Linked DNA regions of Mytilus edulis. The protein of the gene in region 3 interacts with the protein of the main gene of each other region in a biochemical or structural test. Links are inferred from orthologs where the notes say so. Each region holds a gene or a part of one and is shown on either strand. Other genes may lie near its edges.

Evidence for each region. The genes of interacting proteins can lie anywhere in the genome.
Region 1: of the proteins of E3 ubiquitin-protein ligase parkin-like (region 3) and eukaryotic translation initiation factor 4B-like, one has a biochemical effect on the other in vitro, tested with the Homo sapiens proteins (2 studies listed by BioGRID). The link is inferred for Mytilus edulis from reciprocal best matches to the Homo sapiens genes PRKN and EIF4B.
Region 2: the proteins of E3 ubiquitin-protein ligase parkin-like (region 3) and E3 ubiquitin-protein ligase NRDP1-like form a complex in vitro, tested with the Homo sapiens proteins (2 studies listed by BioGRID, with this or other methods). The link is inferred for Mytilus edulis from reciprocal best matches to the Homo sapiens genes PRKN and RNF41.
Region 4: the proteins of E3 ubiquitin-protein ligase parkin-like (region 3) and Parkinson disease protein 7 homolog form a complex in vitro, tested with the Homo sapiens proteins (2 studies listed by BioGRID, with this or other methods). The link is inferred for Mytilus edulis from reciprocal best matches to the Homo sapiens genes PRKN and PARK7.

The regions. Positions count from the first base shown.
Region 1 is NC_092345.1:41,811,048-41,819,336, reverse strand, and holds the start of eukaryotic translation initiation factor 4B-like, read right to left. Parts: upstream 3,173-8,289; 5' UTR 3,159-3,172; coding exon 3,146-3,158; intron 1-3,145. Other genes in the region: leucine zipper transcription factor-like protein 1, read left to right, coding at 3,407-3,409. UniProt on the Homo sapiens protein: Required for the binding of mRNA to ribosomes. Functions in close association with EIF4-F and EIF4-A. Binds near the 5'-terminal cap of mRNA in presence of EIF-4F and ATP.
Region 2 is NC_092357.1:19,894,932-19,902,684, reverse strand, and holds the start of E3 ubiquitin-protein ligase NRDP1-like, read right to left. Parts: upstream 3,173-7,753; 5' UTR 3,057-3,172; intron 1-3,056. UniProt on the Homo sapiens protein: Acts as E3 ubiquitin-protein ligase and regulates the degradation of target proteins. Polyubiquitinates MYD88. Negatively regulates MYD88-dependent production of pro-inflammatory cytokines.
Region 3 is NC_092353.1:63,686,820-63,694,276, forward strand, and holds the start of E3 ubiquitin-protein ligase parkin-like, read right to left. Parts: upstream 3,275-7,457; 5' UTR 3,217-3,274; coding exon 3,037-3,216; intron 1-3,036. UniProt on the Homo sapiens protein: Functions within a multiprotein E3 ubiquitin ligase complex, catalyzing the covalent attachment of ubiquitin moieties onto substrate proteins. Substrates include SYT11 and VDAC1.
Region 4 is NC_092356.1:41,317,086-41,325,235, reverse strand, and holds the start of Parkinson disease protein 7 homolog, read right to left. Parts: upstream 3,173-8,150; 5' UTR 3,006-3,172; coding exon 2,922-3,005; intron 1-2,921. Other genes in the region: forkhead-associated domain-containing protein 1-like, read left to right, coding at 3,623-3,718, 5,384-5,590, 5,987-6,031. UniProt on the Homo sapiens protein: Multifunctional protein with controversial molecular function which plays an important role in cell protection against oxidative stress and cell death acting as oxidative stress sensor and redox-sensitive chaperone and protease.

The DNA.
Region 1 (8,289 bases), on a different chromosome or scaffold from region 3:
AAACTGACTGCCATGAAATTACCCATATGGTGTAGATGGGATGTTTATAAACCCAAGGCAAACAATCAAAGTTTTAAATCTTTGTCCATTTGTACAAGGAGCCGTAGTGGTTGAGCCATTAAACTTATGGTAATTTTACCAAACTGTGACCACAACTTCAAGATGTGACATCAGGCCTCTGTTCAATGTGCAGTCCCACAATAAACGTTCAATTTTCATGTCATACATCTTATATGGTTAATTTGTCAGTTTCCTGCCTCAGGTCTGTGTTTTTTCTGGGTACTTTGATTTACTCTGCCAATAAAACTGACTTTCTTGCATGAAATTATCCATATGATATAGAATGTGACATTGACGGTTGACCCCTTTCAAAGAATACACCAGCATGTACACACAACAATGCTGCAATGCTTTAGACAACATTGGTCTAGAGACTTCATGATTTACATGTATAAAGCTTTTAAATGTAAAAAAAAAAAAAAATCCCTACCTACCTACCCACCTGCTGATAGTGTGGGTCGGCAATGCCAAACAAACAATTTTTTAAGGGTGGCCTTGGTTTTTGAGTTATAAGCCAAAAACTGCATTTTACCCCTATGTTCTATTTTTAGCCATGGCAGCCATCTTGGTTGGTTGGCAGGGTCACGCCACACATTTTTCAAACTAGATACCCCAATGATGATTGTGGCCAAGTTTGGTTAAATTTGGCCCAGTAGTTTCAGAGGAGAAGATTTTTGTAAAAGTTAACGACGACGGACGACGACCACGGATCACGACGTTGGACGCCAAGTGATGGGAAAAGCTCACTTGGCCCTTTGGGCAAGGTGAGCTAATAATTGAGTGACATTCATTTAAACATTTTTAGAAATACATTGTACATGTTGTACATCTGAAGAGAGATTTTTCTAAGGCAGCAACCATTAGATTTTCAGGGGGAGCTATGGATTTTTTTTCTGGACAAACTTTTTTTTCTCCGCCTAATCTATTTTTTTCACGACAAGTCGAAAACAATTTTTTTATTCTAATTTTAGCATTACATATAGTGGCATCTGAGGGGGAAACAAACAATTTTTTTTTCTAAAAAACCCCAAAGCCTTTATATGAATATAGTTTTTGTCTCCATAAAAGGCGACTAACTGTCCTTGTCACTTTTTGGTCTTTGGCTTGTCTTGACATTTTGTAAACATGCCTTCAGCGAATTGTTGTTTTGTTTTATCAATTTATGATACTCTCTACTGTTATTGTTGTCATCGTGATGAAGTTATAATAATACAAGAAGTGCAGAGGAAATGCCAGAAACGTCCTTTAATACGGAACGTCGGGAATAAGGATGGTATCGACGAAGACCCAAATTTAATGTAAATAAAACCATGAACATGAACAAGACAACAGTACCAGTAGGAACATTGTAAATAAAGGTTATCTTAAATATTGTCTGGTTTGGAAGAAGTTATTTTACATTCTTTGAAATTGAAATAACAAAATCACAGGCACAATATCCATGATATTATTTAGAATCATAAAGGTAAGTACCACCATCTCTTTGCCGAGATATACACTTTTTAATTTTTTTTCACTGTAGTCAATTCAAATGGCCCATTCATTTGACAACATGGCCCATTATTTTTTAAAATGGCCCCTTGAATTTAATTTTGAGGGGCCCTGGGCCCATAGAGAAAAAATCCTTCCAGATCACTGCCCCCCCCCCCCCTCCAGAAAATCAAATGGTTGCTGCCTAATATCTACATCTTCGCTAGCCAAGGGTTACGATCCACTCCCGTTCTCTTCACCCTTGGCGGATTGAGATAATATTTCGGAGACACAAGGTAAGGATTTTTATTGGTTGCAGTAGAAACTCGCTGCATCCAATCATAAGCGCCTGTAACATGATCACGTGTAAATGTAGAAAGTGATCGTAAACAATTGCCACGTGTTTATTGTGCAACAAGCCTTTACATCACTAAGCATACGACTATATTTAGTGACAACTTGAATGTTTTTAATCAACTAATAGAAGTTCCTGTGTATGTTTCATGCACAAATGCATGAATGTTGACGTATATTTTACGGCTGTACCAAGTGGGTAGAATCTAGACGCTACCGTGTTTTTACCTCCTAAATGAAGAGTTCAAGTGCTACCATTGGTCAAGAATAATGTATTCGGAATGGGCGTGACTTTAATCTTCCGATAGATGGCGCAACATGGATTCAACAAATGTTGGCTCAATCTGCCAAGGGTGAAGAGAACGGGAGTGGATCGTAACCCTTGGTTAGCGAAGATGAATATCTAATTTTATTTATGAAAATATAAATATATTACTTTTATGCTCAAAATCTATATCTAAGGAGCCAATACGAAATAACATTTTAATGATGTAAAGTTAAATTAAGACGTAAAATAAATCAACTGGTATATTAATAAAAAAAAAACAGTGCGAACAGACCCAAGGAGCAAACATACAGGGTGTTAATGTGTTCTGGGAAGGAATGCAGAACTATAGAACCCAGACCTACCAAATAATGCATGGGGATCGTACCACATGAATTGAATTCTTAGCAATGAAGGTGTATAATTGTGCCTAACTTGACTATCACAGTAGAGCTTCTTTCGAGTTTGGCAGAATTATACACCTTTATCGCCAAGTCTTTCAATCTCCTGTGATCGTCCCCTTAAAGGGATTTCCCAAAACTGTCCATGTACACTTGGATCACAGGGGTTTGTTACAATTACAATGTTTACAAATTATCCATACGAACCCCATTTTTAGGGGTTCGTATGAACCCCATTTTTAGGGGTTCGTATGGGTAGTAAACCCGACAATTGTAACAAACCCCTGTGCTTGGATCATATTGTCTAAGTGGAGATTAAATAAATGTGTTTCTGGCTATTAATCAATAAAACAACCATGCTAGTCTTATAGTGACTGCAGATCTTGTTTGACATGTCAACAAAAAACGAAAGGACACGTCCAACGTTCATAACCACATGGTACTGTCAGACAGTGTTTCAGAGCAAGATCGGTGAAATTTAATGAAATACACCGCATAACGGGATAATTTAAGGATGATTTGTGAAATGTTTGTGACATTATGGCTTTAAAAAGGGGTCTGAATGTTTTTCTTTTCTCGGCACATGTTTCTTTACCCTGTGCCGCCATTTTGCAGTGAATAAATAAAACCTTATTTTTCATTTCGATCAAATTAAAACTTGTTATAAATTATAATGACAGATAGTTTATCTTAATAATTTTGTGATAAAATATTTATTGATAGTTTTATGCATAAAAGATGAATAACATTGACTTTTTTCTTTATTAATACGAACTTCCGTTTGATGCGGAGTTTCACATTCGTCGCATCCGTCCACAATCCACAACTTGCTGTCCGATCTTTTTTTGCAGAAAACATGGTAATTACAAGACGGTGTATATTGAGTTAAAACTAGCACTCGAGGAAAAATAAACTTTAAGTTACAGTGACGTAGGCCTGTGCATTTTAAATGCTCAATTTGTCTTGTCACGGTCATGTCATACAGTCAATTTTTGGAAAGTTTGCTATAGCTTGCTATTGCTACTTTCCTTAGCCGTCGGCCTCAAACTTCCGGTTGACAGATTATCGCAATATATTCTGCTCCGAGATAGTGTAGTACTAGTGTTTGAGTTATGATTCTTGGAAGATTCTTTTAAAATTTTGAGTAACTACTGTATTGACTGAAAAGATAACAGCTTGAATAAAAAGAAATGAATATTCACCGACGATTCAGATGAATTTAACTTCATTTTAAAAATGAGTATTACAAACACTACTTCGCGGATCTGCCATGCGCTATAGAGAAAATCACAAGAAATCTACGCGAGATTACGTTTTCATTCATTCATGAATATTTCATGAATGAACATTTCCCCGCTCTACTTTTACCTGTTTACTATATGTACGTACGTAAACGTGGTAAAATCCCGAGTGTATCGAAAGAATCGAGAATGACTGATTAAAATGCGAGAACAAGTTGACATTTTGACCAAGCCGTCGGATAATTGAAAAGTGATAATGGTTTGTTTAAACAAAACACAGTTGAAAGAATATAAAATACACGAGTAAAGGTAAATACCGGCTTTGATAAAAAATAAAAATTTAAAAATGCCGTGATTGTTTTTGTCTAAACATCGATTGGAAGATTTTGATGCTAAAAATCATTTGAAAACTTCATTCCGTTATTTAAATACTAATTGTTTCACATTCCAATGTGGATGTAAGGAACTTTACTCGTTCAGCATGCTCAAGTGGATCAAACTGACAGCAGAAAAACATTGACCCAACGTCAGTTCTTCTTCAGTCTTCTTCCAATAATTTACATCATACCACTTCTGGTGTGTTATTGTAAATTCATATCATATAGCATCCATATTAAAAGCAACCGAGTCAGCATCTACTTCTTCGAATATTATAGCTCAGGGTATCAAGACAAGTTCTATAGAAATTATTAAGGTTCATGCTGTGTACCCTTTGGCTAAAATGGCTGCATTTTCACCTCAAAATTTAGATAGATTACAGACAAATCGCGGCCTGTGCATCTGGAAAAGTTTTAAGGCATACCATGCCCTATATAAATAGATTTCAATTGCTTAGTCACCCAAACTCAGAGGCAGTGATTACCGTAATATATCAAATGAATGGCTTAAAACAAAAATTCTCAAATGTTCTTAACTCATAAGACAATGCTTAATTTCAAAACAGCAACTAAATGTTTTACAGGTTATAAGCACCTCTATGAATCTAGTGTATATAAACTTTTTATTCCTGTGGTCATACTGCTGTTGTTTTGCTCCCGCCGTATTGAGTTTAATCCTTGTTCTGCTGTATGTATGTACGTCCTTCCCTTACTTGTACGTACATGTACCTCCGTACATCCCAAAATTCGTCTCTGTTCTCTTGCTTTAGTTTGCCTGAACCAAATTGTATGAAACTAATACGAATGCTTATAACCACAATTCACAAGTCAAGTTTGAATTTTAGTTGCGTCACTTTTACCATTCTAGCGTTTTTATGCTACTTTACAAATAGGAAAGTTGGTGGAAATTTTTGTTTCTGTTCTCTAACTTTAGTTTGTCTTAACCACAGTGGCGGATCCAGGGGGGGGGGGTTCCGGGGGTTGGAACCCCCCCCCCCCCTTTTTTTTTTGGCCGATCAATGCATTTGAATAGGGACATATAGTTGGAACCCCCCATTTATCCTGGGTTGGGACCCCCCCCCCCCCCCCTTTTTAAAATGGCTGGATCCGCCCCTGAACCAAATGCTATGAATCTTATACACAATGCTCATTACCACAAACACTGATCAAGTCTGAATTTTGGTGGCGATAGTTCTACCATTTTAGAGTTATATGCCCCTTTACATATGTAAAAAATTGCTGAATATTTTCGTTTCAGTTATCTAACTTTAGTTCGCTCAACCAAATGTTATGGAACTTATACACAATACTTTAAACAATAAAACAAAGATCAAGTTTGAATTTTGGTGGAGTCCTTTTTACTGCTCTTTAGGGTTGTGCCTCGTTAGAAATGGAACCAGATGCTCCGCAGGGCACAGCTTTATACGACCGCAGAGGTCGAAACCCTGAACAGTTAGGGCAAGTATGGACACAACATTCAAGCTTGATACAGCTCTGAATTTGGATTTTGATCAAATTTTTGACATAATATATAGGTTTCTGACATAAAACAAATGTCAAGATCTTACAAATCTATTGCGCAATACTGTGTGATTAGAATGTATACACAATGCTTATTACCCCATCAGATCAAGTACAAATTTTGGTAGCGTCACATTTACAGTTCTTGAGTTGTGATACTTTATAACGTTAATGCTAGCGGGGGCATCATTTGTGTCCCATGGACACGTTCCCTATTTTTGATAAAAGCCTTTAATATAAATTCACTTTCATTACAGTTGTATTGATTTAAGTTACTGTAACTGTCTTATTTATAAAAAAAAAAGATGCGGTATTTTTTTGCAACGAACCAATGCTATCCAAAAGAGTTCAAAGGAGGAAAATGTATTAATAACTATAGGCCACCATATGGTTGTCAATAATGAGAAATATTAGTACCATATACATGTAGAAATTAGCTATAAAAGGCCCCGATATGAAACATGTGGAACAATTTAAACAACAAAAATTATACGTATTAATTTACTAAAAACAAATATGAAGGATCTAAACCAATAGAAAAATACTAATTCACAGGCCCTTGATGTTGACATGGCATGGGTACATAAAAAGAAATTATCAGAGGCTGAGCTTTCTGTATATTTCAATATTTTAGATCTAAAGTTTTAGGTTGCAATAGAAAATATCAAAACTTTTTATGACAAACATGAAAAAAGTGATTTTTGATAATTACTGACAAGACAATGGTTAAGTTTAAAACATCCAAGCTGTGATGAAATACATTTTTGAAATTATACACGTCTATAACCTTTTTGGAATAATACACAGCTACAGTTGCAAACTTTCCAGAGGTGCTATCCAGCACTTTGATTTTTCAATCTCATCCCTTTGGCTTTGAATTTTGTGATTCTGTATCCTATGCTCAGACACTTGTCTCTTCATAAAAAAAAAACCCCACCTTTATACTTTAATATGAGGCAGGCATTAACTGTGAATGGGGACGAAGTCTGTATGAATTTTTTTTAAAAATCAAACGAATAAAAAATATGCATTTAATATGGGGACAAAGTCCCCAAAACAGTAGAAAATTCAATAAAAAAAAAAATCGGGAAAATTTTCCCGATATTTTCATTGTACTAATGAACTCAAAATCATTCAATTTTTTTTTGTTGCGTTTTTGAATTTCCGGATCTGTGCAGAAATCTACTTCCGTTTCCGGTCTTGTTTGCATGAGACTTTGAATAAAATGTATATTTATCAGTATAAGAAAGGAACTCAATACTAATTTATTTTAAAAAAATTGTTTGTTATAAAAAAAAACGTTACCTGATGACAGCGTTTCTTTGTTTACATTGAATACGACGTCATAACTTAAATAACGTCACAACTAAAATCCCTAACAACAGAACCAAAATCGGAAACGTTACATTCTTTGTTTACATTGAATATGACGTTATAACGTCACAACTAAATCCCTTACAACAGAACCAAAATCGGAAATGTTACGGTAATTCTGTTTCTCTTTTTAACATGTTTGATTTATAAAAAAATCATACAGACTTCGTCCCCATTCACAGGTTATGCCTGCCTCATATTATTTTTTTAATAAATTGATATATTTTTTTTATCATATTTTAACCGGAGAGCACGAATTTCATTATAAAATTGCTTGTCTCCACCGGGACTCGTTCCCCGGGACTTCTGTGTTACAAGGCAGCGTGTATACCGACTGAGCTAGTGGAGACAAGCAAAATTGTAATGAAATTCGTGCTCTCCGGTTACATTGGCGCCCAACAATAATAACCCACGGTTAGAAGAATTACCTAGCCAGGTTAAAATATAAATATAAAAAAGATGAAAATATCATCATTATAGAGTATAATGACTCTTGAGGTGGGGGAAGTGTGACAGGATTGCTTCCCTTAGAAAAACTTAGAAGATACTTAGTCAGCCGTAAGCGGTTGAGCTAAGGAAGTACTTCTTTAGCTCAGTCGGTTAGCGCACTGCCCTGTTACACAGAGGTCCCAGGTTTGAGTCCCAGTGGAGACAAGCAATTTTGTAATGAAATTTGTGCTCTCCGGTTACAATATTGATAGATGAAGAAAGTAAAAATTTGTGAGGAAGAAAGGGATTGTGTCACAAACCATGCTGTATCAAATATTCAATCACATTTCAAATACACTTTATAGCTAATCCCGGTTGACGCATTCAACAATCACTTTTCCGTCAGGTATTTTATTTCATCACATCAAAATTTTACGGGAACCTGTGTGATATCCAGTAATTGAGGACAAATAGCGATAAGGTGTATTCAGATTTGTTTAAGCTTAAATTTTGTGTCTATACTTTTGTGGCTCAACTGTTCAGGGTTTGACCTCTGCAGGAAAATCAAGTTTGCTGTCTCTCTGACTGCCTCTTGTTTAATAGATATATTAATACTTGTACAAAGTTCTACAAGTTGTACATGTATGCTATTTTTTTCCCGACATTACGTAAGATCACACAAGTTCCACAACTTTGACATAACATTTCATTTGTGACAATTAAAAAAGATTGACTTCATAATTAAACACTTATTGTTGCTTGATCATGTTGATGTCAAAAGGTTATTTGGAGCAGAT
Region 2 (7,753 bases), on a different chromosome or scaffold from region 3:
ATATGGAGCTCCAGATCTGGACCCTACATGTATAACATAAATTACATAAATAAACTTAACAATGAGTAATTTTGCATAGGAACCATTACAAAGGATCTTGGTGCAGCAACATCATAACTGCAAAAAATATGTGCTTACTCTGAACATGCTGAAGTTGAACAGCAGAGAGCGCAATTTAAAAAATCCTGACATTGCCTAGGGTCTGGGAATAACCCTAAATATTTTTAGAACAAATCTTGCAAGAGGAAGGTGATTTCAAGAACTGGCGAGCCCTAGCCTGAATCCTGCATTTAAACAAATATAAATTTAAGTACCTTAATAAATTACCATGAGCAACAGTGTACCATACAATTGTAAGAGGAAAAGCGTAGAATATATAAGAGACAAGTTGTGTCAATTATGACCCTAGGATCAGGATCAAAACTTTTCAAGTTACATGCTGTAAGTGTGTAACAGGAGTGAAAGTTGTGATGTTTAGTTTGTATATAAAACTATATAATTCCTAGCATTTCCCATCTTGTTTCCTATTTTCCCTGGTTCTGAGATATTAGTCCTATAATAATTAATTCCTTAGAAATTCTGATGGTTTATTAAACTATTGATTACATCAATATTGTCCATACATGCCATACACTTTAGATACAATTCAGTGGTTGACGTTCTTACCATAAATATTATTGTTTCCCCAAGGGTTTTCTAGCAGCTGTCAGTATGAAGTATTAAATCGGGGTTCTCTTGGGACTAGGCACTACCCACTAAAACACCTGACCGGGCTCGGGACCAAAGAAAGTGTCCCGACTGGAAGTACAATATAATAGTTAGAACGTCAATCACTACAAGTCAAGTGTCATAGACTCCTAATAAGCAATTCAATATATATCAAACGTCAATGAAATTAAATTTTAAAAATCTAAGCTTGTTTTTAGTATCCCATTTGTTTGAGGGTGGTAATCACTAATGGGGGTGCCTTCATGACGAAATTGTTTTTAGGCAAATGACGTAAACAGTAATATTTGGTGCATGACGATTAAATTTACATTTTCTTCAGACGATAAAAATTATCAATTGATATTGATGATTCACGTTTAATTTGTCCAACAATTGACGCTAACGATAATTATACATTTGTTATGTGAGACCTCTGACAAATCACAATCAGAATTTTTGACAAATCACAGTAAAAATTTTACCAATTTGACAGTAACGGTACATGAAAAAGACCGTTTTACGCCTGACAGTAAATTAAAGGGCATATAATTACTACCCCTAGTATTCGATCCAGTACAGTGCCAGAAGATTGGAAACAAGCAAACGTAACAGCAATATTTAAGAAAGGAAGCAGATATGATGCTAGTAACTATAGACCCGTCTCACTCACCTGTCTATGTTGTAAATTCCTGGAACACATCATTGTCAGTAACACCTTGAAACATCTAGACAATCACAAAATACTTACCAACTGTTAACATGGTTTTAGAGCAAGACGAAGCTGTGAAACTCAACTCATCACGTTTGGCATGAGCTTGCATCAGCTCTAGACAGAGGAGAGCAGATTAATATGGTTATCCTTGATTTCTCTAAGCATTTGCTAAGGCCTTTGATCGTGTCTCACATACATGTAGACGGCTGCTCAACAAACTACAGCATTATGGAGTTACAGGACAAACACATAAGTGGATTTAATCGTTCTTAGCCAAACGTACCCAACAAGTCATGGTTGAGGGAGAATCTTCAGAGAAAGTTCCTGTGGTCAGCGGAGTCCCCCAATGGACTGTACTTGGACCGTTACTATTCCTCCTATTCATTAATGACTTAACTGACAACATAACATCCAACACACGACTATTTGCAGACGATTGTATAGTATACAGAACGATAACATCTACTGTTGATACTAATGTAGTTACAAGAAGATCTTAACAAACTTGCAGAATGGGAAAAAACCTGGGGCATGGACTTTCACCCACAGAAATGTAGTGTACAATCTACCACTAGATCACGTTCACCAATAATACACTCATACACGCTTAAGGGACAAGTGCTAGAAAGATCAAAAAGTACCAAATACCTTGGAGTCGACATTGAATCAGACCTCTCCTGGAAACAACACATCAATAGCGAAACCAAGACAAATGCATATGTTGCAATGGTCAGATCCAACTTAGACTACTGCGCAACAGTATGGAATCCACATTAAAAAGAGCAAGTAAAAAAGGTTGAAATGGTCAAGCAGCCGCTATAGGAACACCAGTAGTGTGGGCAGCATGTTAGAAGAACTAGACTGGGATTCATTGGAAAACAGAAGAGTCAAATTACAGCTTACATTACTCTACAAAGTTGTTAATGATCTTGTGGACATACCATGCGACACGTACTTAACACCAATGTCATCGAGAACAAGATCATCACATACAAAGAAGTTCCGGCAATATTCAACCAAGACTAATGGCTACAAATACAGTTTTTTCCCCAAGAACAGTGACAGTTAGGAACACACTACCAGCAACTGTAGCTGAGGATCCCTCCTTGGTATCTTTCAAGAGGGAGCTTTCAACACTTTCTATCTAATCTGTGCATTCCCCCATTTGCCAAGTAAGTCAAAATGATGGACTGGAGCTGTGCCGGCTGGGATTATTTTCCCTGGTACCCCCACGGAAGATATTCTTTGGTTATCTTACAAAATTACTCTTTTTCTTGCGCCCACCAGAAGCGTTGACTATTGGTCAAGTTTGACAGATCAACTTGGAATGTAGATGTACCCTCATTTGTTTGTATTGGGAATATTACTTGCACATAGATTTTTTCGAAAGTCATTCACTGTCAAAACAATCCATGTATGCTTTGAGGGAAATATTAGGATATTGTAGTTCCGATATTGAGACACTTTCCGATACAGGTAGTTATTCTTTGAGGACTTTGTGTCTGTGATTTAGGGTTTGGGAAACCACCGTCTCCTGGTTCGGCCTACTTCGACAAAGGAGTCAGGCAGTATAATTGGGAAATTTATAATTAAAATAATAAGTGATGTGTTTATTTTTGCTTGAAACCAATTTTACCAGTTCAAATGAAGGCAAACTTCTGTAATAGTGGATAATCAGTGTCTGTTTTTCTTTTCATGATGTCGCCATATTTTCATCAACTTCCTGCAAGAACAATAACTCTGCTAAATCAGTAAGTTTTTTTTAGCGGGAACTTCAAACTCGGGTCGTATTATTTTTTACCCAAAACTAACTTATGTTTTAACTTAGTTTCATTTATGTATTAAATGCATTTGTAAGTCGTTGGACAAAAGTGAGTACCCACTCAAAAAATGTCCTATCATTTCAACTAAAATCGCACCACCAAACGGTGTATTTAGGATTTTGCTATATACACGGGTCATAGTCACAGGGTTGACACTGACTACTAAATTCAATCATTGTCAAATTGTTCCCTATTGTAGTATTTTAATTAGTAAGATAATAATACGAATACTAAAAATATGGACCTAAAATGATAAGGCGTTTATGTACAGTTTCGGTTAATTTGGTAGCGGGCATGACGTAAAACAGCGAATCAAAGAATTCAACTTTATTTATAACTAATGTAGGACAATGCTGTTGATTAAAAAATACTCCATTCCAAGACCTTTTATTTTCCAAATAATTAATATTACAAATAATTGATAAGTTCCAGGTCGACGGGTTCAAACAGAAAGTAGAGGAAACTGTGTATCTTATAATCGGCAGTACTTTATATATCATATGACAATACTAATACTAAAATAAGGCTAACGCATAGTTATATACTTCAATTCAGTCAAGGACCCGCGATTTCACGGGTGTGTTCTAGTATGATAAATGTATATTCTTTTCCCGAAACCCCCTTTCTCAGTTCGTCTAAATCCTGGATCCGCACCTGGTGACTGCTATGACTATGATCGTCCAATGCATATCTAAAAAAATAAAACATGTAAATATGTCCACTACAAACCAATCGCCTATGAAACAAGTATTGGAGATTTTGTCTTTTTTTTCAATTATATTCGTGCAAAACAAAGAACAAGCTTTACGAAACTTTTTGTCCACTACGACCGAAACGGTTTTGTCCACTACGACACTCATCAAAATGTCCACTGCGTAACGTGAGTTGTACCTTCATATTGCCATATATCATAACTTCCTTTTAAATTTACCTCTTCGCTCATTCCCATATTTTGTGGCATTCCTAATAGTTCTTGGGATTTTTTTGTATTATAACATAGTTCGTGTTTTCCCATTTACAAATTTCTTGAAGCTGGTTCACCTTTCAAATTTTATGATATAATAGTATGTAGCTGTTTTCATTAGAACTATTTTAAATAATATAAACAGAAATGTCATAAGATGTTGAAACGTGATTAATTCATCACCATAATTTCATCATATACTATCAGATATACGTTTTAGTGTCAATATAAAAAAAACACTATCCAGTTACGATTATCTTCTCATTTTTAGCTGCTTTATCTTCTCATTTTTAGCTGCTTTTCTCACCACTTGGCGTCCGTCGTCCGTCGTCGTCGTCGTCCGGCGTCGTCCGTCGTCGTCGTCGTTAACAATTTACATTTTGAACTTCTTCTAGAGAACCACTGAATGGAATGGAACCAAACATGGCATGAATGTTCCTTATGAGGTGCTGACCAAGTGTTGTTACTTTGTAGTCGATCCATCATCCAAGATGGCCGCCAGCGGGGGACTTAGTTTAACATAGGACGCTATGGGAAATGCATACAAATGACTTCTTTTAGAGAACCATTGAATGGAATGAAACCAAACATGGCATTAATGTTCCTTATGAGGTGCTGACCAAGTGTTGTTACTTTGTTGCCGATCCATCATCCAAGATGGCCACCAGCCGGGGACCCAGTTTAACACAGGACCCTATGGGAAATGCATACAAATGACTTCTTTTAGAGAACCACTGAATGGAATAAAACCAAACATAGCATGAATTATCCTTATGGGGTGCTGACTAAGTGTTGTTACTTTGTAGCCGATCCATCATCCAAGATGGCCGCCAGCGGGGGACTTAGTTTAACATAGGACCCTATGGGAAATGCATACAAATGACTTCTTCTAGAGAACCACTAAATGGAATGAAACCAAACATAGCATGAATGTTCCTTTTGGAGTGCTGACCAAGTGTTGTTACTTTGTAGCCGATCCATTATCCAAGATGGCCACCAGCGGGGACTTAGTTTAACATAGGACCCTATTCGAAATGCATACAAATGACTTCTTCTAGTGAACCACTGAATGGAATGAAACCAAACATGGCATGAATGTTCCTTATGAGGTGCTGACCAAGTGTTGTTACTTTGTTGCCGATCCATCATCCAAGATGGCCACCAGCCGGGGACCCAGTTTAACACAGGACCCTATGGGAAATGCATACAAATGACTTCTTTTAGAGAACCACTGAATGGAATAAAACCAAACATAGCATGAATTATCCTTATGGGGTGCTGACTAAGTGTTGTTACTTTGTAGCCGATCCATCATCCAAGATGGCCGCCAGCGGGGGACTTAGTTTAACATAGGACCCTATGGGAAATGCATACAAATGACTTCTTCTAGAGAACCACTAAATGGAATGAAACCAAACATAGCATGAATGTTCCTTTTGGAGTGCTGACCAAGTGTTGTTACTTTGTAGCCGATCCATTATCCAAGATGGCCACCAGCGGGGACTTAGTTTAACATAGGACCCTATTCGAAATGCATACAAATGACTTCTTCTAGTGAACCACTGAATGGAATGAAACCAAACATGGCATGAATGTTCCTTATGAGGTGCTGACCAAGTGTTGTTACTTTGTTGCCGATCCATCATCCAAGATGGCCACCAGCCGGGGACCCAGTTTAACACAGGACCCTATGGGAAATGCATACAAATGACTTCTTTTAGAGAACCACTGAATGGAATAAAACCAAACATAGCATGAATTATCCTTATGGGGTGCTGACCAAGTGTTGTTACTTTGTAGCCGATCCATCATCCAAGATGGCCGCCAGCGGGGGACTTAGTTTAACATAGGACCCTATGGGAAATGCATACAAATGACTTCTTCTAGAGAACCACTAAATGGAATGAAACCAAACATAGCATGAATGTTCCTTTTGGAGTGCTGACCAAGTGTTGTTACTTTGTAGCCGATCCCTTATCCAAGATGGCCACCAGCGGGGACTTACTTTAACATAGGACCCTATTCGAAATGCATACAAATGACTTCTTCTAGTGAACCACTGAATGGAATGAAACCAAACATGGCATGAATGTTCCTTATGAGGTGCTGACCAAGTGTTGTTACTTTGTAGCCGATCCGTCATCCAAGATTGCCACCAGTGGGGGACTTTTGAATGAAATTAAACATGTTCCTTTCCTTATAAATGAGGTGCTGACCAAGTGTTGTTACTTTGTTGCTGATCCATCATCCAAGATGGCCGCCAGCCGGGGACTTATTTTAACATAGGACCCTATGGGAAATGCATACAAATGACTTCTTTTAGAGAACCACTGAATGGAATAAAACCAAACATAGCATGAATGTTCCTTATGGGATGCTGACCAAGTGTTGTTACTTTGTAGCAGATCCATCATCCAAGATGGCCGCCAGCGGGGGACTTAGTTTAAAATAGGACCCTATGGGAAATGCATACAAATGACTTCTTCTAGAGAACCACTAAATGGAATGAAACCAAACATAGCATGAATGTTCCTTTTGGAGTGCTGACCAAGTGTTGTTACTTTGTAGCCGATCCATTATCCAAGATGGCCACCAGCGGGGACTTACTTTAACATAGGACCCTATTGGAAATGCATACAAATGACTTCTTTTAGAGAACCACTGAATGGAATAAAACAAAACATGACATGAATGTTCCTTTTGGAGTGCTGACCAAGTGTTGTTACTTTGTAGCCGATCCATTATCCAAGATGGCCACCAGCGGGGACTTAGTTTAACATAGGACCCTATTCGAAATGCATACAAATGACTTCTTCTAGTGAACCACTGAATGGAATGAAACCAAACATGGCATGAATGTTCCTTATGAGGTGCTGACCAAGTGTTGTTACTTTGTTGCCGATCCATCATCCAAGATGGCCACCAGCCGGGGACCCAGTTTAACACAGGACCCTATGGGAAATGCATACAAATGACTTCTTTTAGAGAACCACTGAATGGAATAAAACCAAACATAGCATGAATTATCCTTATGGGGTGCTGACTAAGTGTTGTTACTTTGTAGCCGATCCATCATCCAAGATGGCCGCCAGCGGGGGACTTAGTTTAACATAGGACCCTATGGGAAATGCATACAAATGACTTCTTCTAGAGAACCACTAAATGGAATGAAACCAAACATAGCATGAATGTTCCTTTTGGAGTGCTGACCAAGTGTTGTTACTTTGTAGCCGATCCATTATCCAAGATGGCCACCAGCGGGGACTTAGTTTAACATAGGACCCTATTCGAAATGCATACAAATGACTTCTTCTAGTGAACCACTGAATGGAATGAAACCAAACATGGCATGAATGTTCCTTATGAGGTGCTGACCAAGTGTTGTTACTTTGTTGCCGATCCATCATCCAAGATGGCCACCAGCCGGGGACCCAGTTTAACACAGGACCCTATGGGAAATGCATACAAATGACTTCTTTTAGAGAACCACTGAATGGAATAAAACCAAACATAGCATGAATTATCCTTATGGGGTGCTGACCAAGT
Region 3 (7,457 bases):
TACATTAACCTAGTAACGATAATCATAATGGATCTCTAGTTAAAAACAGGCTCTTGCAGAAAAAGGAAAAGCGACACTGAAGGTAAATAAGGAATAATTCTAGTAAACTAGTTTTTTTGGTGAACAGAGTCTGAGTATTGCATATAACTTCATTAGTGCAATCCAAAAACGATAACTAGACTAACAAATGAAGTACTGGTCTTCGGAAAGGGGCAGTCCTGTCTGCGTATTCATTTCTCCGTTTCACCAACTTTGACAAATCAAGTACTGGGCATCGCAAGGGAGCAGTCCTGTCTGTGTATTCATTTCACGAACTTTAATCTTTCTCTTTACAAATAAATAAAATATAAATAATATGAAACATCCATGGATTAGTTTTTATGCCCCACCTACGATAGTAGAGGGGCATTATGTTTTCTGGTCTGTGGCTCCGTTCGTTCGTTCGTCCGTCCGTCCGTCCGTTCGTTCGTTCGTCCCGCTTCAGGTTAAAGTTTTTGGTCAAGGTAGTTTTTGATGAAATTGAAGTCCAATCAACTTGAAACTTAGTACACATGTTCCCTATAATTTAATCTTTCTAATTTTAATGCCAAATTAGATATTTACCCAATTTCAAAGTCCATAAAACATGGAAAATGATAGTGCGAGTGGGGCATCCGTGTACTTTGGACACATTCTTGTTATCCATGTTTCTTTAACCTTAAAAATTGAAAGAATATCCCATATTCCAATTTGATATTATTGAGGATCGAATGGTAGAACCTTTAACACAGGATTTTGTCTTTACTTATTCGGGACTACGGTATTTCGTTTCTTTATATTCTGGGTTTCGGAATCGGACACCCCAGACCCTAACCCCTAAATTTATAGATTCTGGAACTAAAATACCACCAACTATTTCCAGAAATAATTGGAAATTACAGACCTACATGTAAACGTCAAAAACTCCAGTCCAATTTCCCCTGTACCCATACCAGATATACTTACTCTATAGATAGAATCATATACCTGTATCTTATCTCATTCTATCCCTAGTTTGTCTACTCTTTGTCAGCATAAAAGCGAGTTGAATATTTTGAAACTGCGACTGTATGATGGTTCTTACAGGAAAGCTTAATTCCCTTTTGCAAACAAAACTGTTACTACCGATGCTGCTACCGAATTGCTGATGGAGAAGGAATTGGAAGAAGACATTGATCATTGTGTTGATGACAATGTGCTACCTTTAGAAACACAGACTGCCCTGAAACGACTGAAAACTTGGAAAAGAGCATGCATGAGTGGCGAGAGATTGTGCGGTCTTGCCATGCTCCATGTTCATCGCGATAAGGATACCAGTAGACCAAATTATGATTCTGAAACGATTTGACTGAACCGGCAATAGAAAAATTTGGCAAACTCTACTGAATCGATGTTTGTTCTATGTTCTGGCAGCAGACTCAAATCAGTGATATTTGGATGATTATCTTACATATAAATTTAAATAAAGTTGTTGGTGTTAGTAAAAGTCTTAAAATATGAAAAATTTATATAAAGTGTTCAAATTCAAAACATTATCAAACTCTCTAAAAATGCCTAGAATGCAGGATTTTACACCATTCATTTCATACCCTCAAAAAAAAATTTTCGCCTCGCTTCGCTCCGCTCAATTATTTTGCCTCACTAAAATAAAATGCCTAGTTACGGCCTTGTTGTTCAGGACTTTTTGTAAATAATAAATACTAGCACATCATAGAAAAACCAGAGAGTAATGTGTTTTAAAAATCTTATAACAAAAAATTCTGTGGATTTTCTACAAAAAACTTGGTTTTATTTTCATCAAATTCCTTTTAAAAAAAAAGCTCGGGGGGTGTCACTTACTATATAATTAGTGGTAGGGATGAGCCGCTGCAATAGGTCACTTTTTCATGCTCTATGATATATGAAAAGGGTAAGAAATTCAGAATTAAATATATCAATAGGTTGATATTATCACTTGCTTGATTATATCATAAGTATCTAAAACTAATCAGATGTTCGTATTTATTTTTGATGCGTTAAACCACAGTTGTAAATGCATCACTTATTTGTCAAACCAATTAAACTCTACTTATTCTGATGTGGTTTTTCCACTGATGCCAGTGATAGATGCAATAAATCCGACCATTTTGACATTTGCACCTAATTCAGTGGCGGATCCAGAAATTTTCATATGTGGGGGCCCACTGACTGACCTAAGAGGGGGCCCGCTCCAGTCACTCTTCAGTGATTCCCTATATAAGCAACCAAATTTTTTCCCAAAAAGGGCCCCCCCCCCCCCTAAATCCGCCTCTGTAATTAACATTCAAGGGTTTGTATACATAAAACATTAAACAATTATTTACAGAAATTCCATTGTAAGAGGGAACGGCATTGTAACTTTTATCAGTTTTTAATTAATATTAAACATAAAACAATAACAAAGACAACAACACCGATCAATTACGGCATGGTAAGAGTTTATTATGGTCGACATGTTTCGCCAACAAGGGTGGTGTCTTCAGGACAATATTATACATGAAATCAAACAGTGAAGTACAAATTTGGCGGTTGTGTGGTTCGCTGAACAATAGAGGTTGTTATGACGACGTTATAGATATAAATAGAAAGAGAAAGTGAAAGTAAAATAAGAATCTATATACTAATGTACCAGAAAATGAAAAATATTCAAATATATCTATAGGTCTGTTTTTTGTTAATTGATATATATGAGGGGGGATAGGACCTTTATCGGGACTCCGGGATCGGGTGTTTTTAAGCTCGGGATTTCGGGATTGACCCTTTTGGGATCCGTGAATCTTTTTTTCGGATTTCGTGATGTCGGGATTTGCTTTATTTAAATTCCCAGATCCCGAAAGGACCTCGGGATTTCGTTTTTTCAAGTCCGGGATTTCGGGATCAAGACCTCTCCTATCCCCCCTCATATATGACAAGGTACATATTTTTGATAAACAAAATATATGAAAAGGGTGGGGTACTTGATACCAAAAAAAGTTTGTAGTGATCATAAACCTTTATCACCTTTAAAATAGCATCATTTTTCAATACACAGCCTGTAAATATCAACTGTATTTCTTCAGGTGGTAGTTTAATTCTTTTGGAAATTTCTCTTTTCACTTTCCATACATTCCAGTCAGTATCTACTTCGATTGTAAAAGACGAAGAAACATTGTATTTTACATTTATTACAATGTTTGTCATCTGAAAGCAATGTCACCTACTTTCAATTTCAGGTCAGAATTCAGAAGTGAAAGTAGATATCTATATTACTACGCATAATTATACCTGATTAAACAGCTACAAATGTAATTATAAGCGGACATCAAACAATTTAAATAGTGTTTGAAAGTTATACGGTTATTAATGAATGTTAATGGACAATCAAATTTTATCTATAGATGTTAAAATATAAAAACTATATTGGCGGATGATGTCACGTGGAAGTAGTGATCAGACCACATGCAAAACAACATCATGGCTTTATTTCGAGTTGGAGGACAACTTCTTCGATCAGTAACAGAAAGTCGAACTACGTCGTTAGTTGCACTTTATCACAAAAATGTAAGAATATATATTTAAATGTATCTGAACACGTTTATTTGTCAATAAAGATTGCTTGTACAAATTGTAGATGTTGTCTTAGTTTTACATAAAAGTTATGCAATGCCAAGTCCTTCATCGAAAGTTTACATTATTATACACTCATTTATTCGATTATGATATCAGATTAGTTGTTTTGGAATAGGCATTTTTTTGTGAACCATATAAACAGTTACAAATAAATTCTGCCTTTATTTCTGACATGACATTTTCATGATTTTGCAGACAGAAATTTGAGTTGTTGCCAAAGAGTTAAAAAGTTGTCTCCCTTGATGATTTTCAGTCAAATTAAATTATTGTAGTAAAACATGACAGATAGAATGAATCACATATTCTATTCAAATTAAATTATTGTAGTAAAACATGACAAATAGAATGAATCGCATATTCTATTCAAATACTCAAACAAAAAATTATTCAACTTTTATTATTTTTATTTGAATAACAGGTAATTGATCATTATGAGAATCCCAGAAATGTTGGATCTATGAATAAAAACGACAAAGATGTGGGAACGGGATTGGTTGGTGCTCCTGCTTGTGGTGACGTCATGAAATTACAGGTATGATAACATTATACATTATATATATACAGTTTCCAGACTGTAATGGTAACCACCATCATCATCAATTGTTGGGGAGACGATTTGAAAGTGGAATAAATTGTTCATATAAAGTTTGACGATTTGGGAGTTCGACAATAATGTTAACCCTTTCACCGATAGCTGCCCAGACAGAAGCTACTCTGTCTGAGACGATGGCTTCCCTGGCTACTATTACTCAAGAGGGAGATCTTCATAATAAATGTCAATAAAAACTAGTCTGTAGTTATTTGTGTCTTTATTTCATTCACTAACACCATGTTCACAGTTTTGTTCATGTTTGATATTTTTTTCTTCATAAAATTTTCAAATTTTCGGCATGATCTAGTTGAAATTCTGAAAGATCTATTCTTTGACCCAAAATCATTATTTTTAACCCAAAACGGCAAAATTTTGAAAAATGAAATGAGGCTGTACAAATTCCTTACACTCAACGATGTCCATTCCAAGTGTTGTGTACATAAAACGACATTTTCAGTTTACTAGTTTGGCTTCAATTCTTCCATATTCTTTTTACAAAAATGTTCCTAAATTTTTAATTCTTGTAAATTTCCATTGATTTTGACACGGTTTTCAACAAACGGAAGCGCCATGTTTACACTTTCATCAGGGTATTCAACAAAGAAAGATAACTCGTGTTTGCACTGTTTTGAGCGGGAAATATAAATAAAAGAGGTATTCCGATCCCGGTAAAACAGGACTCATCGTCAGCTGTCTGAAGCGTGAATCTCGGTAAACCAGGACTCATCGGTGAAAGGGTCAAACAAATAGAATTATTATATCCATTACATATAACTAACTCGAATGTTTGTTAATAACTGCTTTTTAATCCAATATTTAAAATCATTTCATATTACAATTTCACAACATTGTTTCGTGTTAACTTATCACATGATAAAGACATGATCTGTTTAAGTCTGACCATTTGACATACAATTTTACACTACTTAAACCTGATTCCCAGAGATGATCAAAACAAAGTAATTAAATCGCCACAGCTGCATTTGCAGACGACTATTATTTGAGCTCTAAATGACTAAGACTGACCCACTGAAGGTGTCATAAAATTTAGGAATCCTGTTAAGATTAACAATTAACTTTCTACACTGTAATAAATTCTTTGGAAAATACTGTTATCTTTAACTAATCTTAGCAGAGGACAATGTAGTTTTATTTCAACATAATTCTATTGAAAGTTAACGATAAAAATAAAACTTCCAAAAATATAAGTGCAATTAATAAAAAACGATTTCTACTCTATTAAAAATCTTAACTAAAAACAATCATACTACAGTGACTTGACTGTTAGTGTTGCTATCCACCAATTGCAACTCATTCAAAATTTTGACCAAATCGCAATTTGTTTTATAAAATCAAATTGTTCAACTGGTCAGAATATTGAACAAATTGTTCAGTCAAAATGTGAAAGTACAAGGTGATAAAATAAAATATACTTACAATCCTATAAGACTTTAACTCCACTTTAATGATGTTATTACTAAATTTGTCTATCAAGCTGTATAGTTATATTATAGCCATTACCATACTAAAGGTAAAATGTTTTATTTTGAATTACTATAAAAATGTCCAAACTAAGCTTTTATATAGTTTTTCTTTCGAAAAGGATTTTATATTTATTCCTAACTTTAGTTTGACTCAAGCAAGTGTTATGAAACTTATTATGTACAGATTGCTTACTACCTCATAACTCAAGTTGTACTTGGGTAGCTTCATTTTTACTGTTCTTGAGTTATGTCCCTATATAACATAATATGCAAGTGGGGATCATCTTCCATTTGTGTCCCATGGTCACATTCCCCCTTTATTTATTTTTTGGTGTGGGATGGGGTTGGGAGGGTACCCTTAATTACCATTTGAAATGCTTTTGGTTATATCAGCTGATCTTGAAACATCTAGTTTTTATACGACCGCAAAAGTTGAAAATTTTTTGGTCGTACATGTATATTGGTATCACGTTGGCGTCGTCGTCGTCCGAATACTTTTAGTTTTCGCACTCTAACTTTAGTAAAAGTGAATAGAAATCTATGAAATTTTAACACAAGGTTTATGACCACAAAAGAAAGGTTGGGATTGATTTTGGAAGTTTTGGTCCCAACATTTAAGAAATTAGGAGCCAAAAAGGGCCCAAATAAGCATTTTCTTGGTTTTCGCACTATAACTTAAGTTTAAGTTAATCGAAATCTATGAAATTTTGACACAAGGTTTATGACCACAAAAGAAAGGTTGGGATTGATTTTGGGAGTTTTGGTTCTAACAGTTTAGGAATTAGGGGCCAAATAAGAATTTTTCTTGGTTTTCGCACACTAACTTTAGTATAAGTGAATAGAAATCAATGAAATTTAAACACAAGGTTTATGACCACAAAAGGAAGGTTGGGATTGATTTTGGAAGTTTTGGTCCAAACAGTTTAGGAATAAGGGGCCCAAAGGGTCCAAAATTAAACTAAGTTTGATTTTAACAAAAATTGAATAATTGGGGTTCTTTGATATGCTGAATCTATAAAATGTACTTAGATTTTTGATTATTGACCCAGTTTTCAAGTTGGTCCAAATCGGGGTCCAAAATTAAATTTTGTTTGATTTCATCAAAAAATGAATAATTGGGGTTCTTTGATATATGCCAAATGTAACTGTGTATGTAGATTCTTAATTTTTGGTCCCGTTTTCAAATTGGTCTACATTAAGGTCAAAGGGTCCAAAATTTTCAATTGGAGTTATCTTTCTTTGTCCAGAATAGTAGTTGAATCAACTTAAATCATTGTTTTATACAATATACAATGTATATATTCACTTTTACTACCAACTGATAAATTAAAACAATCTTTACCATTCAGTGATAACAAGCACTTTTTGTCGATCCTGCAACTTTTGTTGCAGAAAGCTCGACATAGGGATAGTGATCCGGCGGCGGCTACGGCGGCGGCGGCTACGGCGGCGGCGGTGTTAGCTCACTTCTTAAAAGCTTTATATTTTAGAAGGTGGAAGACCTGGATGCTTCATACTTTGTATATAGATGCTTCATGTTACGAAGTTTCTGTCAGTCACATGTCCAATAACCTTGACCTCATTTTCATAGTTCAGTGACTACTTGAAAAAAAAGTTCAAATTTTTTGTAATGTTGAATTCTCTCTTATTATAAGTAATAGGATAACTATATTTGATATGTGCGTACCTTGCAAGGTCCTCATGTCTGTCAGACAGTTTTCACTTGACCTCGACCT
Region 4 (8,150 bases), on a different chromosome or scaffold from region 3:
CAAGTCATGTCATTTTTCATTTATCATTTAAGACCTCTTCCATTAGCCATTTGTACAAATGTAATGAATTGTCAATCATAACATGTATATAACTGTTGTCTCCTGCTCACTACTGAGAGATGGAAGAAGACCTACAAGATACACCTCCAGACTTTTTCTTGACAGTACCCGTAGTTCTTTAACCTCTGTCTTTCGGATATCTGCCACATGTTTATGCTCGATCAGTGTTTTGACAATAGAATCCGTGGTGACTCTGGGTTTACACGATTTGTGGTACATTCGTAAGATATGTTCTTATGTTTCAGGACACTAAAGTTCCGATATGTATGGCCCTCGATGATTAAAAAATTTACTCCTCGGTTTCAGTGTGTAATATGTCCATCATGTTACAACGAAGTTCCAGAACAATATGAATCAAAATAAACTTATTTAATCATACGTTTTTTGATTGAGTTAAGTCTGCCAATTGATATTTTATCGTATGTTTTTCTTTGTTGTGATGTTATGCTATTGTTTCAGAAAAAGGGAGAAGGTTTGAATCCATTAAAACGTTTAATCCCGCTGCAAATGTTTGCACCTGTCCTAAGTCAGGAATCTGATGTACAGTAGTTGTCGTTGGTTTATGTAATATATACGTGTTTCTCGTTTCTCGTTTTGTTTATATAGATTAGACCGTTGGTTTTCCCGTTTGAATGGTTTTACACTAGTAATTTTGGGGCCCTTTATAGCTTGTTGTTCGTTGTGAGCCAAGGCTCCGTGTTGAAGGCCGTACTTTAACCTATAATGGTTTACTTTTTAAATTGTTATTTGTATGGAGAATTGTCTCATTGGCACTCACACCACATCTTCCTATATCTATTAAACATAAATAAACAACATTTATAACCAGATTTTATCAATGGTATAGTACAGTACATGTACAAGTATTAAATTACCTGTAAATCTAATTAGGAACAAATATAAAATCGGCGCAAATGAAAAAATGAAATTGGCGCAAATGAAAGAATGAAAATTTTCAAATTGGCGCAAATGTCATACGCCCATTAGCACATACTTACAAGTTCTCGTCCAATCAAATTGCTTGAATTTGCCTTCTAATTTTCATAGTACATACTTTTTCCGTGTACTAAGTAACTACGCATGAATGACCACAAGGGTAAGATTTCATTGTATTGTAATCAAGATATTAGAACAAAAATTGCTACTGGCTATTTTGAAATAAATTATGTGTTCCAAATTTAACTAAATAGTTTGTAATTAGTTTTCAAACAGATTTTTAACATCCTACTAATCAATCTTTTGATCTAAATTTTGTTTTGACAATTAAAAAAGTTTCTTTCATTTAAATAAAGAGTAATAATAATGGTGCTTTATACCTTGATTAAAGTACAACTCAATCTAAAATTTGTAATCCTTTATCTTCCATGCAATTACTTTGTACACAAAAAGAGTCAACCATGAATCTTTTAAAGGGAAATTATTAATAAAGAAATTTGATATATTTAGTCATAAATTGGTCGATAATTGGTTGCCTAATGTCCAGTGACAAATATTTCATGCATATAAACTACCTACTAGACTACCTATGGGTACATACCATGGGCAGATCCAGCCATTTTTTAAAGGTGTTTCAACCAAAGATGTGGGACGGGGATCCAACTGTTTGTGATAGTTTTAGGTTTTATGTGAAATTAAAAAAATGTTTTCAAGAATGTAAAGCTTTCACTGCAATTTAAGAATTGTCTGCTCTTGGTCAATTCATTTTGTCATCTTACCATGTAAATAAGTACATGTATAGTAAAACAACGTTTTCGTTCATATCAATAAACATACGTACACCAGCAGCTACCTTCTTTACATTCTAAAGTCAAGGGCCTTTTGAAATCCAATTTTTACAATGATATTATAGTGAGTAGATTTACAAAACTACGTAAATGAGCTACATCCAGTCAGCCAAAACATATCAATAGACTAATTACAGGATTACTCAAGTTGTAAATATGTGCTAAATTGGATATTGTATAGAAAGGTATATACTATGAAAATAAGAGCTTTGGGGCAAAGCCCCTCGCTCTAATTTTCATAGTATATACCTTTCTATACAATAACCGAGACCTATTCCTTTTGCTGTTGATCAGGTGTTCAGATAGGTTTACAATAGATTGCAAGTTTTGTCACTTTAGCAGAAAACTGGTTATCCTAATTTTTAGTAAAGTGCATATGTTGATGCATATAATGCTAGAGATTATAGCCAATATAACTAGATAATGCCATTCTGCCCTAATTTGCTTTAAATCCAGTGCAAACAAAAATAACCCTCTATAGAAGGATAATTTTATCCCTCTAAAGAAGGATTATCCCTCTATAGAGGTATAATCACCCTACAGGGGGTTTGTTCCCAACCTGTTATAGAGAGATCATAATCGGTAAGAGATAATTTATGTACAGTTTTAAGAACAATATTTATTTTAAGAAGAAATATTAAGAATTGTAAAAGTATTTATAAATTAATATTTATTCTAATTAACTTTTTAATTTAACAAGTTACTTATGAAGCGTGAAAGAAAGTGAATCATATTGTTTGATTAGTATTTAATGCCTTTAGTTTTTTAAGTTATATTTTTACTTACGATGTATGTTTATGTGTATTTTATTTTATTGAAGAGAATCGGTTGTTATGATATAGTATATTTAGCCATATGTAGTTTTGAAGAATAAAGATACTTATATAGAACGCATACTCGACTTATCGCCTTATTTGATGTCTTTGATGTGATCCGTTACAATAACATGTACATTAAGATACATAAGTTTATTCAAGCGGGACAGATTCTCGGGTCTGATAGCCGGGAATAGCGATAAGGTGTATTATTTTGGGCCGATTATAATTTTGGGACTCAGCCTAAGCATAAGGTACGTACTCCTCCCCGTCTTAGAACATCCACTGTGATGACGGTTTCCATTTCTTCTGCCCCTTCGGCGAGTAGAACAAGTGCACTTGGCATTTTTGTTTTTGCTAAAAGCTGTCACTTGGCAATTTAATATTTCAAAGTTGTCCAAATTTTATTAAAAAATATGTAAACATTAAATTCAGAAGCACAATGCAACTTGTTTAACCTCCTAGTTACTTCGTTAGTTTAAACGTATGAAAGATACAGATTTTTTATTCAATAATCTCTACTAGAAAATTTTTGTAAAAATTATTAAAGTGTACCTTCAACATTTATATCTTACATAACACTAGAAAAGACAATTAAAAATATAGCCTTTATAAGATTAAAACTATTATTCAGAGATAAAAACAATTCTGCTTATTTTTGTATCCAGGTTCGAGGTTTCGGATGTTTGGTTGTTATGCGCTATTGGGCATGCGCAACATCACTCGCGCCGACAAAAAACTTGTTTATTCTGCATGTAAAATAGAAAAACAATTGATTCTGACTTAATTTACTAATCCCACGTGGAGAATTTAATCCTACATTGATAGAGTCTGCAAATATCTCATCAAAACTGACAACTGAAGAAATATTTTCAGGAAACACGTGGGAAAACGGGCACCTGTTCATGAGTATTTGGTAACCCGAGCAGCAACCAAATGTAAACAACTTTCTAGAGTGTCAAGATGAAAGCATTTTTAAAAGGAAATGATGGGTCTGCATTTACTTTAGCCCCCAAAGTGACAACAGTTGGACGTGAAGGTTGTGACATCAACTTACAGGTATAGATTTATTGAATATTCATATATTTGAAAAAAGTGTAGTACACAGAAAAACCACACTTCAAGAGGGGTATGATCCTGGATCTGGCTTATTGTTTTTTGAGAATTCCATATCCTGCTTCTCCATGCCACAATAGTGCATGTTATCTCACGTTTCCCGCCAGACTTTGTATCCTGTTTTCACGCTTTTAAATTATTCAACTTTTACGTGTCCCACTAAAAAAGGAAGCCAAGCCAATCCTGTGTCATGCTTAGACCTCAATACACCTTATTGCTAGTTGTCCGCTATTACTGAACATCACACAGGTTCCCTTAAAATTTCGACGTCATAATACAAAATATCTGACGCCACAATGGAAAAGTGATTGTTGTATGACGCCAATAGTTCAAGCAGGACCGATACACCTTATCGCTATTTCCGCTTGACCCGAGAATCTGTTCCGCTTGAACTATTGGCGTCATACAACAATCACTTTTCCATTGTGGCGTCAGATATTTTGAATTATGACGTCAAAATTTTACGGGAACCTGTGTGATGTCCAGTAATGGCGGACAAATAGCGATAAGGTGTATTCTCAGGTCAGCTGAGAATAGCGATAAAATTTTGAGACCCACTTCAAGTATCTGTATAATACTGGAAATGAACTCAAAATACTGAGTAAAACTTATCCAGGAAGTGTGTGTGCGCCACTGATGTAACTAGTCACACGATTTATAAACTGCCTTTAGTGCCTTAAAACTTTCCACAGTTTTACAGTTCACGGTAGTATTTGGTAGTAAGTTCCAGTCAATGATAATTTGTGGAAAAAATGAATGTTTATATATGTCAATATTTGCTGATAAGAGTTTTATTTGTTTGAAGTTCTGGATGGTCTAGTATTAAATTCTACGTGATGTTCAGTGGGGATGGCTACCAGGTCAGTCACTATTTTGTATAGTAGTACCAGTCGTTGTTAGCGTCTTCTTTCCACAAGAGGTTTCCATCCAAGGTCCTTCATCATGAAGGTGACACTACTCACTTGTCTCTGAAAAAATCACCTATATTCATGTACCTTTATATTAAAAAAGATGATCAAATCACTTTTCTGAGAGTAGTCTGAGATTACTCTGACGTCCAACAGCTGTTTTGCCAGGCCCACGGCCCCAGCTTGTCTGGCAAACAGCTGTTGGACGTCAGAGTAATCTCATACTAGTCTGAGAGTATCAAATTTCATTATATTTTGGTTCATGGTTGTTCATCCTTCAGAATGTAAGAGGGTAGGAATGCCTCTTATGTTTAGTATCAAACAGTCATTTGCAGCTACTTTTAATGTCAAATTTGTTGAAATTACAGTGTGAATTGTCAGGGGTGTCAAATAAATTACTCTTGCATGTCTTGCCACTATGTTTCAAAATAAATAAAACATATTTCGTCAAAATCAGATGATTTTTTTTCAATCATCAGTTAAAATTGTACATTTATCATCATGCATCAAAAACTATCATTGGCATCATTTAGCTAGGTATTTTACCATTATTCCTAATGAAGGTACTCCTACCATGACCCGCCTGTAATGTTTTATATTCCTTGATCATTCACTTTTTACACCTTTTACAGATTATTTAGCTTTGTAAAGTTAATATTGTTTTTCATGCTTTTTGAATGATTATTTAAACTAATTACAGACACAAGGTGTTGACCTTCAACATAGTGTTATTGAGTACAGTGAACAAGAAGATGGTTATGTGCTGCAAGATCTGAACACATCCCAAGGAACATATGTAAACGAATGTAGAGTTCAGAATGCAACTGTCAGATTGGCGCCTGGAGACCTAATTAAGTTTGGATATAATGGTGTACCATTCACATTAGAAATTGAAAATCCACCACCAGTAAGTGAATATTTATTAATCTATTGTAATGCCACAAAAGTAAATATGTCAGAACTTTGCCCTTGCAGTTAGAACTACGTTTTGTGGTAGTCAACATTATGCCCTTGTAGTAAGAACTAAGATTTTAACAGGTGTTCAATAACAAAGATTTCAGATTAAATTGTATGCATACATTACATTTTAAGTAACAAAATTTAAAATTAGGAGTTACCTTTAAAAACCAGATGCCCAAAATCAGAAAGAAAAAGCGCAGTGGTATATTTGTAGTTTATCATCTCCTCCTAAACTGTTATTTATTATTCATGTTTACACGATACACAGGCTCAAGTTTCATTATCATAGTTAAATGATAACATGTAACTTCATTTCTTATTTGTACAATTCTCATTTTAATAGGAGCGACAGTTTTCACAAAGTCAGTTATTAAGATCATCCACTCAGGTAGAGTAACATTGTTAATATTTCACTTCCAATAGACCTGCATGTTCTTTTTCTCTTGGTGATGGTTGTTTTTCCTTTCTATCTTGTCTATAGTACATTTAGCCTTATTGGCATACAGGCACTTTAAAACATTTTGATACCAAACATGTAAACATGCAGTGACAGAATGCAAAATTTTCACTACACTCTTTTTGCTTGCTTTATTTTATTAAGGCAAACATGGAACACAACATTTATAGTATATCTACATGTATGTTCATATTTTAAAAACAAATATCCTTTATATTTGTTTGAGGATAAAAGCTTGCTTTCACTAGTGCATCAAAATTACACAAACAATAAGAATCTAGAAATATTAAAAGGCTTAAAATTAAAATATCTTGCAATTTATATAGTGAACATTTAATTTACTGCATGTTGAAATGGAATTTACATACAGACTAACAGCAGTCACAAAAACAAATAGTGCATACATCTTTTAAATGTCTTTAAAGAAGTTAAAAGAACCCTATCTTTCTCCTACTTTTTATCATTAGCTTGTGTATATATTTCAATTTCATAAACAACAGCATTAGTGTCAGACATAGTTATAAACAAACCTGTGTTTTAGTAACTTTAGAAAATATATCTTGATTGTCCTTTTTTTGGAAAATGATAGTAAAAAATCAGAAATAATTAACTATGTTAAAAGATTGAATACATATTGTAAATTTCTGTATGATGGTTTCCACCTTCTTATTCAGACAATGAAAAGATTCATTAAAAAGAGTCTGTGTATTCCCTTGTAACTTTGGTGTTGGTGTTTTTATGTGTTCAATAAATTTACAAAATACATGAAATATATATTTTTTCCGTTTGTAATTTGTATTGAACCAATTTGTCAATTAACACTTTCACTTCACACTTTACATGTTAATTCATATCTTGCTAGGTGTGATAGTTTGGAATATCAAGTTGAACATTTTTGAAAAACATTGTAACATTCACCACAATTGTTACTTCACCCTACCATATTCTCCACTCCAAAGTATCTTTACTGGAAAGCTTATTTTCAAGTCTTTCATGTTGAATGTGTTGAAGACATTGCTATCATTCATAATAGATGACATAATACATTGGCATTGATATTTTACTGTTGCAGGAGGTTGCTAATAGAAAATATGCTGTACTAGATCAATGAAAACTGTGTCAAAAAAGATACAACTTCTTATTATGTTTCTGCTGTTATGAAAAAAGGGACTGCAAGTACATTCCAACAAGTTAATCATTTCATTTAATAATATTATAAATGGTACATTGTACTACAGTTTTACAGAGTCAAAAGACAAATTCAAGTCAAATTGGATTGAGAGTTCAAGTTTTCCTTAGATATCTTGAATACAGTTGACACACTTTCGTCAGCTCTTCCTATTCCTTTGTTTACTGTTTTTCTCTCTTTTCTGTAGAAAACTTCTTTCTATCATCAGTTATCTAGATATCGACAGGTATGTCCACATAAATCATGTAATATAATATTGCTTGGAATGACAGTTACAAAGGTATAACTACAGACAATAAGTCTTTTCAAGTTGTGCCTCACCATCAAATATTTACAAGCTTGTGAAATTATGTGTGATACAATTAAAGGTAAAATCTATGATATTTTTTAATGTTTTCTATAAGAGTTAATATACATCCACCAGCATATGTCAGCTCAATGCTTTTGGTCAATCCTTAGATAAAAATATTACAAAAATAATATATTTCCTGATCTGGTTTTCAGTATAATATTGTTATACAAAAAGGGAAATTCCACACATTCAATACATTTAGGATTATTAAGATAGATAACTGTTTTGGCATTATTATACATTTAATAAGCAATCTATATTTGTAGATCTCTGCAAAGTACATCCATGGCTTGAGACAGTCATGTCATTTTGTCTGCTTGAAACTGTACATACATGTCTGTCATTTCTGTACTCTTATGAACTTTATTCAATCATACTTATAGAATTTTGTTAATTTTATTACTTTTATGACATTTATCATACACAATTAAGATAAGTTCATTACTGCTCAGCATTCAGAAATAGATACATTATTTGGTCTGCTGTTTTAGAATGTATTGATTAAATGA